Linked DNA regions of Caenorhabditis elegans. The protein of the gene in region 1 purifies or fractionates together with the protein of each later gene. This does not show direct contact. Each region holds a gene or a part of one and is shown on either strand. Other genes may lie near its edges.

Region 1 (5,026 bases):
AGCAAGTTCGACGTTCCAGCAAGTCTTCGTTTCGGAGGAATCACTCCTCTAATTTTCGGTGGAAAGCAAGGAGAAGTGATCAATAAGAAGTCTGAAGGTTATGAAGCACTGAAATCAAAATCTGAACAAATTGATGCAACTGTCTCTGAAGAACTGAAAAAGTTGGATAGTAATTGGACTGGAAATCAGTTTTACGTCAAGCTTCTCGTTTGGTTGTCTGCTGATGATACTAAAACTGCACTGATCTCTGCCAAACATGCAGCTGCTCTTGGACAATTTGGAAGATGTGCAAAGCTTCTCAACAAAGCTGGAGATGAACTGAAGTCGTCTGCTACTGATTCGCAAGCTGTTGATACATCATTGGCTGAAGTCTGCGAAAGTCTCGAGTGGAATCATCTTGCTACTCACTTTAAAAATTCGGCTCTGATCAAAAACAGAACCTCCTACCGTCTTTTCTAATTAGTGTATCATAAGAAATTTCGCGGGTTTCTTTTTTCTGGAAGCTTTTTTGCTTCCATTTCCGTTGTGAATCAAATGATTTTCCCATTTGAATAGATAAACTTTTATTGTTTTATAAATGAGATCAAACAAAAATTTTGCAGAGATACATTAAAATTATTAAGAAGAAGAATGTTCGAGGTTGCGACGAATTGATGCATGGCATGTACTCACAGAAGTTCCACCCAGTCATGTGGGTGAGAATCTTCTGATATTGGCAGTATGATTTGACAGCACTATTTCCACATGATTTTCTCACTACTGCTCGCTCACATTGTGTGGTTCGTGATACGGAGCTCAAAATTAAAAACTAATCTCAATAAGTCTGAAACTATTAGACTCACTCGCAACTGCCAACTTCCAAAACGGAACATTCAGTATAAATCGTGTCAGAGAGATCATTCAAACTGATTGCTTGCATACATTCATAATATGCCACAACTGAAATATTTATAAAACAATGAACGAGAATGAAAAACCTCACAATCATTTCCATAATTACAATAGAATTCAAGAAACCCCGTTTGTGAGATGTAATAAGCTGCATTGCTTTCTGAACCAAAAATTGCATTGAAAGTGTTATAGTTGAGACAATCATTGATGACGTCACTATGACAGTGACGTAGAGTTGTATATGTACTGTAATTATTCGTCTTTTTTAAAAATATTTATTCTAGCATGTAAAACCGGTTCTATTGAAATTCTTCAATAATTTTACAATTTAAAAGGTGTTGCAATGTTGTAATACCTTCACATACCTACACATTCCAGTGGCATCGTACCGAATTTTCTTAAATGGATCTTCGTCTGCTGGGGGAAGGCTAGTCACATTTGAACCATATGATTGAAACATATCTATATAACATTGTTGTAGCACTTGATCTTGATCAGAACTGCAGTTATGCAGCACTCCTTCGTTTCCCGCTACGGTTTGCTTCACTAGACCTGCTAAATCAACTTCGAGTGTCTCTAGCGATTTAGTAACGATCGTAACCACAACAACGAGAATATTCCAAATCATCAAATATAGGGAAAGAAAATTTTGTGTTTCGAGCAATTTAAAGTGTTTAGTCTGAAACAGAATAGCTCGTAAAATGTCGTCACCGTCAGTCGACCGGTTTATAGCTTTTCGGGAGGTTGAAATGTGTTTATCAATTTGATATGTTACGGTCCCGGAATTTTCCAAAAATTTTTATTGTTTCTAGTAATCATTAGTAATCAAATTGATAATTATTTTAAATACACTTTTTAATTCTTGAAACATGTGATTAGAATCTCGCATTATTTGAAAATTTCAATTTGGTTACGGTAGACAATGACAAAGTACGCAAACACCAGAGTATGTGACACACTTTCGTCATTTGCGAATTCGATTTTAAATATTATTTTCATATTCCCATTCCTATTTTCTGTGAATTGATAATTTTTCTATGAGTAATCATTCTAATAAAATTATCAACTAATCGACATGGACCAATCAAAGATGCGCAGAACGAATCAGTTCAGAAAAGTAAGTTTTCAGTAACTTCTAAAGAAACAAATGGCCTAAGTTTTACAGACTTCCCAGAAGCCTCCTTCTACAGGGATTGACAGTTATCCGACTCCCGCACAATCACCAATGGCGCAGCATGAGACACCTATGTGGGACTTCAACTCTCTCAACCCGTATTTCTCAATGCTCAATATGAACGATGGGATTAATTATGCTCGCCATCAACAGAATCACATTGTTACATCGCGGCCACCAACCCCGCTAACTGATTTGATGAGCCTTCGGAGTTTTCAGAGCTTTGTAAGTTAGAGTAGGCAATTTTTGGTTGTTTTCATTACTGATTTGCAGCCCAATGTGTTCATGCCGGTCTCGCGTAGCCGAACTTCATCATTCATTCAGTCTGATACGGATTCCTCGCGTCTCGAGTCGGATGATTTTTCACAAAATGTCCGATGTTTCTCTGCGGATATTGATCGTAGCAAGAGCTATGGTTCTTCAAAACACTACCATTTGAAATATTCGAGGTTCGAATTAATTTATCACTATCCTCTAGTATTTATTCTTTTTTATTTATAGACCCGCTCTGTCGAGGAACTCTAGATCATTCACAAGATCAAACAATGTGCTGCCAACCTGGTCCTTGGATTCCAATGGTGAAATGCGTTCAAGATTGTCGCTCTCTGAAGTTTTGGATAGTGGCGATTTAATGAAGTTTGCCGTTGACAAAACTGGGTGCCAGTTCCTAGAAAAGGCAGTGAAGGGCAGCCTGACATCTTATCAGAAGTTCCAATTGTTTGAACAAGTTATTGGGAGAAAAGATGATTTCCTTGTAAGTTTTAGTTTCTGCGAGCACACATGACTTTTCTTTTCAGAAATTGAGCACGAACATCTTTGGAAATTATTTGGTACAAAGCGTTATTGGAATTTCATTGGCAACTAATGATGACGGATACACAAAGCGACAAGAAAAGTTGAAGAACTTCATCAGTTCCCAAATGACAGATATGTGCTTGGACAAATTTGCGTGTCGTGTTATCCAATCCAGTCTCCAGAACATGGATTTATCCCTTGCGTGTAAACTTGTTCAAGCTCTACCTCGTGATGCTCGTCTTATCGCAATCTGTGTTGATCAAAATGCCAATCACGTCATTCAGAAAGTCGTAGCAGTCATCCCACTGAAGAATTGGGAGTTTATTGTGGATTTCGTTGCCACCCCAGAGCACCTCCGTCAGATTTGTTCTGATAAGTATGGGTGCCGTGTTGTGCAAACTATTATCGAAAAGCTCACTGCTGATTCAATGAACGTTGATTTAACTTCCGCTGCTCAAAATCTTCGTGAACGAGCGCTCCAACGACTCATGACTTCTGTGACTAATCGGTGCCAAGAATTAGCTACGAACGAGTATGCCAATTACATAATACAGCATATTGTATCCAATGATGATCTGGCCGTTTATCGGGAATGTATCATAGAGAAATGCCTCATGTGAGTGTTATTGTTTAATATCTACTTGATTTTTAATCATCAATATTTCAGGCGCAACCTTCTTTCGTTGTCCCAGGAAAAGTTTGCTTCTCATGTTGTTGAGAAAGCATTCCTACATGCACCATTGGAACTTCTTGCCGAAATGATGGACGAGATTTTCGACGGATACATTCCACATCCGTAAAAACATTAGTTTCAGTCACATAAAAATGAAATGTTTTTTCAGGGACACGGGAAAAGATGCCCTCGATATCATGATGTTCCATCAATTCGGAAACTACGTCGTTCAATGCATGCTGACTATTTGCTGTGATGCTGTGTCTGGAAGACGGCAAACGAAAGAAGGAGGCTATGACCATGCAATCTCATTCCAGGATTGGCTGAAAAAGTTGCACTCGAGAGTTACGAAAGAAAGGCATCGCTTGTCAAGGTTATCACTATTGTCACAATAATATTTTGAAATTCGAAATTCAGGTTCTCATCCGGCAAAAAGATGATCGAGACGCTTGCCAATCTCCGTTCAACTCATCCGATTTATGAACTCCAATCTTCGGGACACGATTCATTCAAGACGGATTACTTCAGTACTGCTTCCGAGCACGATGGTCCGGAGTTGGAGAAGAATGGGATCGAGGAAGGAAGCCTGATGCTAGAGCCACGGAGCAATAAGTCTTCAGTCTCTGTCAAATTTTCTTCTTCCGGTAGTCACGGCGATGATTAAGGTGGAACTTTCTCACCATAAATCTCATCCCACCCACTTATGTTCTGTTGTTTTGTAATATTTTAAACTGGTGCAATGATTTCGTTTCGATTTTAAGATCGATGTTGTGCCTTCCCCACTCTTATCATTGCCCAGTTTTGTTTTTTCTTTTCTTTTTTGTTATTTTATTGCTTTTTATGCAGTTGTGTTATTGTTTCTTTCTGTTTACTGTTCATTGTTTTTGTTAATTTTTTATTTTCGATTTTAATGAATCCAGATAAAATTAGACAACTTGGCAAAATATCGTTCGAGTCTTTGTCATGCTTCCACCGAGAGCTTCCTGCTTCCATACAATGCCTGCTCAGAAAACAATTTTGAAAGCGAAGAGAAAAGTTGTTCTTTGCTCGGAGAACAAAAAACTGATAACCGACAAATGTTGACTTTGTAAATTTAATCAAATTAGAAACCATGAAGAATAAATATAGTTCAATTATCATATTGAAATTTATCTTACAATTGCATCGATTTCAAAATAATGGGACTCTCAGAAAATAGAAAAACAAAAATTGGATACTGGGGATGAGGAAGAACTCCGCGAACATTGGCGGTCCTTCTCTCATGTGGTCCTCGTATAGGTGGTGGCAATCCTCTCATTGTTATCCAACATCGAGAAAATGTTCTTCGGCTAGAACTCTGAAACAAAAATACTTTCAAATTAAAATTGTCAAGATAAATTCGTACTTCCTGACACAATTTGTGTTGTTGCAGCGTTGAATTCGATTCCAAACCAAGTGGCAAGACCAAGACCCAGCAATGATGATGGAATAGTTGAATTGACAGAATTCCTCGA
Region 2 (3,812 bases), on another chromosome or scaffold:
TCGAAAAAAGAGAATAAAATGAATAAAAACGAAACTTTGTTAGAGGGCGGAGACACACCGCAATGCCGCGGCACGCAGTTTTGCAACTTCACCGCACAGTTTTATTTTACGAGTTTTTAGCATTTTTTCCAGCAAAATTTGATTATTTGCCAGATTTCCTGATAAAATTAACGCGAAATTGTAGAAAAGCAGTTAAAATACAACCGTGCGGCAGTGTTGCGAATTCTAAGGGTTTATTTCGAGTAATAAATCTGAAAAACCTCTTGCTGGAGAAGCTTGGCGGCCTTTTCAGGCTTCAAATCCTCATGGATTTGATCCAAATCCTTTCCGGGACGTTTACGTGTCTTGTTCGAAATCGTGTGCTTCCTCTGTCCACCGCTCGGCATTTTTTGCTGAAATACTACTTTTGTTAAGCTTTGAATCTAGACAAAACAGCTGAAAAAGATAATTTCAGGCTCAAAAACCCTTATTTTAGTTGAAAATTTAAAGTTTCCGCGAGTAGATTTCGAAAATTTTTATTTTTTTGGGCATAGGGGAGGGAAAATGAAAATAAAAAGATACACGGGGCGCCCGATCTCGCCCAGCTTCTACTGCTGCTGAAAATTACAAATAAAAAAGATCGAACTTTCAGAGTAATGATCACCTATAAACAACTAAGCGTATAGTCATCAAGTATAGGGAGATATAATAACAAAGACAAATTATAGGGCGCGTGAAAACACAAAAAACTTGGGTGAGAGATGGGGAAGGGCACGAAACAGACAGCTAATTTACAATAACAGTGTAGACGGTTTTTGGTGGAAAAAGGAAGAAAAAAATAAAAGAAATAGACACATGAAAAATGACGGGAAAGAGATCTGTTCAGGCTTGTTGTGGAACTCCGATTAGGCCTTGTGGTGTCTCATCGCCTAGTCGAGAAGTTGATCCGGAGCTATGGAACAGCGAAAGCGAAGATCCAAGACCAAACATATGTCCACAGATCAATGGAGCAATCTGGTTCCAGTTGTCTCCGAAAAACTGCTTTTTGATCTTGAAAAACGTGGCGGCGGTCAGCAGTGCGTCGGATCCAGCTTGATGGCGAACTCCTTGTCGTTTCACGTCCAGCTGATCGGCGACCTCTTGAAGTCCTCCTTTCAGCTTTGCAGACGCGCAATTTGGAGTTCGGAGCAGGATTTTGATGTCGAAGCTGGTTGGGAAGAGAGTTTTGTGGCACATGAAGAACGTTGACTCTTCCTTAGGCAGATCTCCAAGTGTGATGCTTTTCAACAAATATCCAAAGTCGTAGCCGGAAGAGAACGTGAGCCATGTGATCCGTGGATCAGTGATGAGGCCTGACGTCGTCAAAAGTTCTCCGAATACTGCTGTCGGTATTCCATTGTTCTGGAAGAAAGAAATTATTATTAAAATATTGGAAAATCAATATTAAAAAAACCTGCAGCAATGTGAAGTCTATTCCGGCTTGCCGGAGCATTTCGACACTCTCATGCGAGAACATGTCTTCAGCGAAGGAGAAATTGAAATTGAACTGCCAAACATCGCCAGTCGGTGGTAGCTCTCCTTTGTCATTGACCATTGCAAAGCCCACTTGTATTAATTTCAGCATATTCACATTACAGAACACTTGCTGATAATTGAAATCTTCCTTGCTTCGAAATGTGCCCAACGGTGTCGCCACAACTCCGGGAAATTCTGTGTCCATTGCCACGTAGGGATAATCCTGAAAAAAAACCGATTTTTTAAAAATATTCAAACGATCGGCTGTACCTCGACGAATCCTCGAATCCTCGCGAATTCCTCCTCCACGTTTGACATATATACGTTGTGAATCTTGACTTCTGGTGCTCCACTTGCTCCACCTGCTCCACCTGCTCCACCACTGCTACTAGAAGCCATTTTTATGATATCTGGAACTAGAATTTTCGTTTTAGAGTGAACGCTTTTATTTTCGATTTTTTTAAACGAATTTATGGGACAGAAATCGAAAATAGCTTATAAAATAAATAAAATAATTTTTCCGCAAACTTTTAAAGCAGAAAAACGGGAGAAAAAGTCAGTTTGCAAAAGTTTTGAAGCGCAAAAGAAGTTCTTGAACGATCGATTTTGGATCGGCATTAAAGGCGCATGGAGTTTCCCAGCGGTGTGGGTCTCGCAGCGAACGGGAGAGAACTGCAAACTGGCTAGCTGCCAAGTGAGTTTGTTTTACGTGAAACTGTCGAGAAAACATCGTTTTAGTGAATTAAAATGTGTTTTTAATGAATTTTTCACTTATTTTCTTGATTTTTACCCTAAAAACATGAATTTTGTGCGTTAAAATGATGCAAATTCGAGTAAAATACGTATAGAATGCCTATTTTACTCATTTTACAAGATAATTCTTCAAAACACGAATTTAATTACTTTTTTGCAGGTAATAATGCTGAAGATCGCCGTCGCCCTTTGCCTTGTCGCTTCCGCTCTTTGTAAGTTGGAAAAATTAATAAATTCCCACACAAATTATTCAAATGTGTGGCTTGTATAAAAATAAGGCTCGATTTTTCGAATTTTAAGCGTAGATTGTTAACATTTAATACAAATAAAACAATAAATATTCCAGGCGCCAAGTGCGAGTCGCCAAAGTACTCGGCCTCGTCATTCTCCACTACCGACGGATTCTTCCACTACAAAACCACCTTCATCACCGAGTTCACACTTCAATGCAGCAACAACCCGAAGAATATCCAATACACTGCTGAAGTAAACGGTCGCCTTATCCCAGTCTCGATTTCCGACGAGACCGCCAAGTTCCAAGTCTCATGGACTCTTGAGCACAAGGACGCCGGAGCTCAAACCTTTAATATTAACATTTTCGACGAGGAGGGAGCCGCTCAATACGCCAAGAACCCTGTCACCAAGCCACTCTTCACCGTTCAACAAAGCCATGGGGTGAGAATTGCATCATTTTCACATAATTATCTTTAAAAATCATTTTTTGCAGGGTCTCGCCACGAAGTCTCCAATCTCTTCCGAGACTGTCGCCGTCATCATCGTCGTCATTGGCCTTTACTACGCCATTCGTCAAAAGACCGAACTTGTCCACTAAATATCATTGTTTTTATCCCCAAATTACTGGTCAACGCACGTTTGCGTGCTGGGTTTTTGTTCTTTTTGTTTTTATTTATATATACAAAATGTAATTTATTGATTTTTGCCCCTTTTTCCACCCCATTCGTGTATTTATAAGTTCAGTAGCCCCCAAATAGCCATAAATTGAAATTTAATTGCTAGACTGACGTAAAAAAAAGTTTAAAGAGTTGAGAGTGTAAATCCCCGGGAAACTTACTTTAGATAATTTTAAGACCCCCTTTAGGCCAAAATTTTCATTCAGGCAAAATGCTTTTGGCTCGATCCATAATCCGATGCTCGCGGAGCATCTGTTGTGCTCAATTCCAGACCCCATCAAGCTCACGATTCCTGCACACAAGTCGACAACTCCACGAGAAAGAGCCCACTCCGAAGAAGCCAGACGATCAAAAATGGAAAATGTTCAGAATGACAATGTCTGAGGAGCAAAAACTCGCAAAAACGGCGAAAATCGAGCAAATGAAGGCGGAAGAAGCGCCGAAAACGTTGTTCGCAAAAGTGAAATATTATTTTAAAAGATATTGGTATATCGCTGTGCCGGCTCACGCGGCATCGTGTACAGCATGGTTTATCGCATTGTATTTGGTGGTTAAAAGTGGAGTTGATGTGATTTCATTGCTCGAATGGCTTCATATGCCGGATGCTATCGTTGAAAAGGTCAAAAATACGCCCGAAACCGCCGGAGTTGTGGT

What was found. The genes of interacting proteins can lie anywhere in the genome.
Region 2: the proteins of fbf-2 (region 1) and ccf-1 purify together in Caenorhabditis elegans (affinity purification with western blotting; 2 studies listed by BioGRID, with this or other methods). This does not show direct contact.

Annotation. Positions count from the first base shown.
Region 1 is NC_003280.10:6,088,313-6,093,338, reverse strand, and holds fbf-2 (Fem-3 mRNA-binding factor 2), read left to right. Parts: upstream 1-1,858; 5' UTR 1,859-1,966; coding exon 1,967-2,008; intron 2,009-2,056; coding exon 2,057-2,290; intron 2,291-2,338; coding exon 2,339-2,514; intron 2,515-2,566; coding exon 2,567-2,819; intron 2,820-2,862; coding exon 2,863-3,476; intron 3,477-3,527; coding exon 3,528-3,656; intron 3,657-3,702; coding exon 3,703-3,906; intron 3,907-3,950; coding exon 3,951-4,197; 3' UTR 4,198-4,476; downstream 4,477-5,026. Other genes in the region: tpp-2 (Tripeptidyl-peptidase 2), read left to right, coding at 1-459; nspg-3 (DUF19 domain-containing protein), read right to left, coding at 584-794, 843-939, 983-1,137, 1,257-1,519. UniProt on the Caenorhabditis elegans protein: RNA-binding protein that binds to the consensus sequence 5'-UGUGCCAUA-3' in mRNA 3'-UTRs. Involved in the control of stem cells and sex determination in the C.elegans hermaphrodite germline.
Region 2 is NC_003281.10:11,918,328-11,922,139, forward strand, and holds ccf-1 (CCR4-NOT transcription complex subunit 7), read right to left. Parts: upstream 1,911-3,812; 5' UTR 1,894-1,910; coding exon 1,765-1,893; intron 1,718-1,764; coding exon 1,433-1,717; intron 1,381-1,432; coding exon 862-1,380; 3' UTR 501-861; downstream 1-500. Other genes in the region: znf-593 (Zinc finger protein 593 homolog), read right to left, coding at 261-386; trap-4 (Translocon-associated protein subunit delta), read left to right, coding at 2,414-2,459, 2,594-2,922, 2,975-3,079; Y56A3A.22 (DUF1279 domain-containing protein), read left to right, coding at 3,370-3,812. UniProt on the Caenorhabditis elegans protein: Catalytic component of the CCR4-NOT complex which is one of the major cellular mRNA deadenylases and is linked to various cellular processes including bulk mRNA degradation, miRNA-mediated repression, translational repression during translational initiation and general transcription regulation.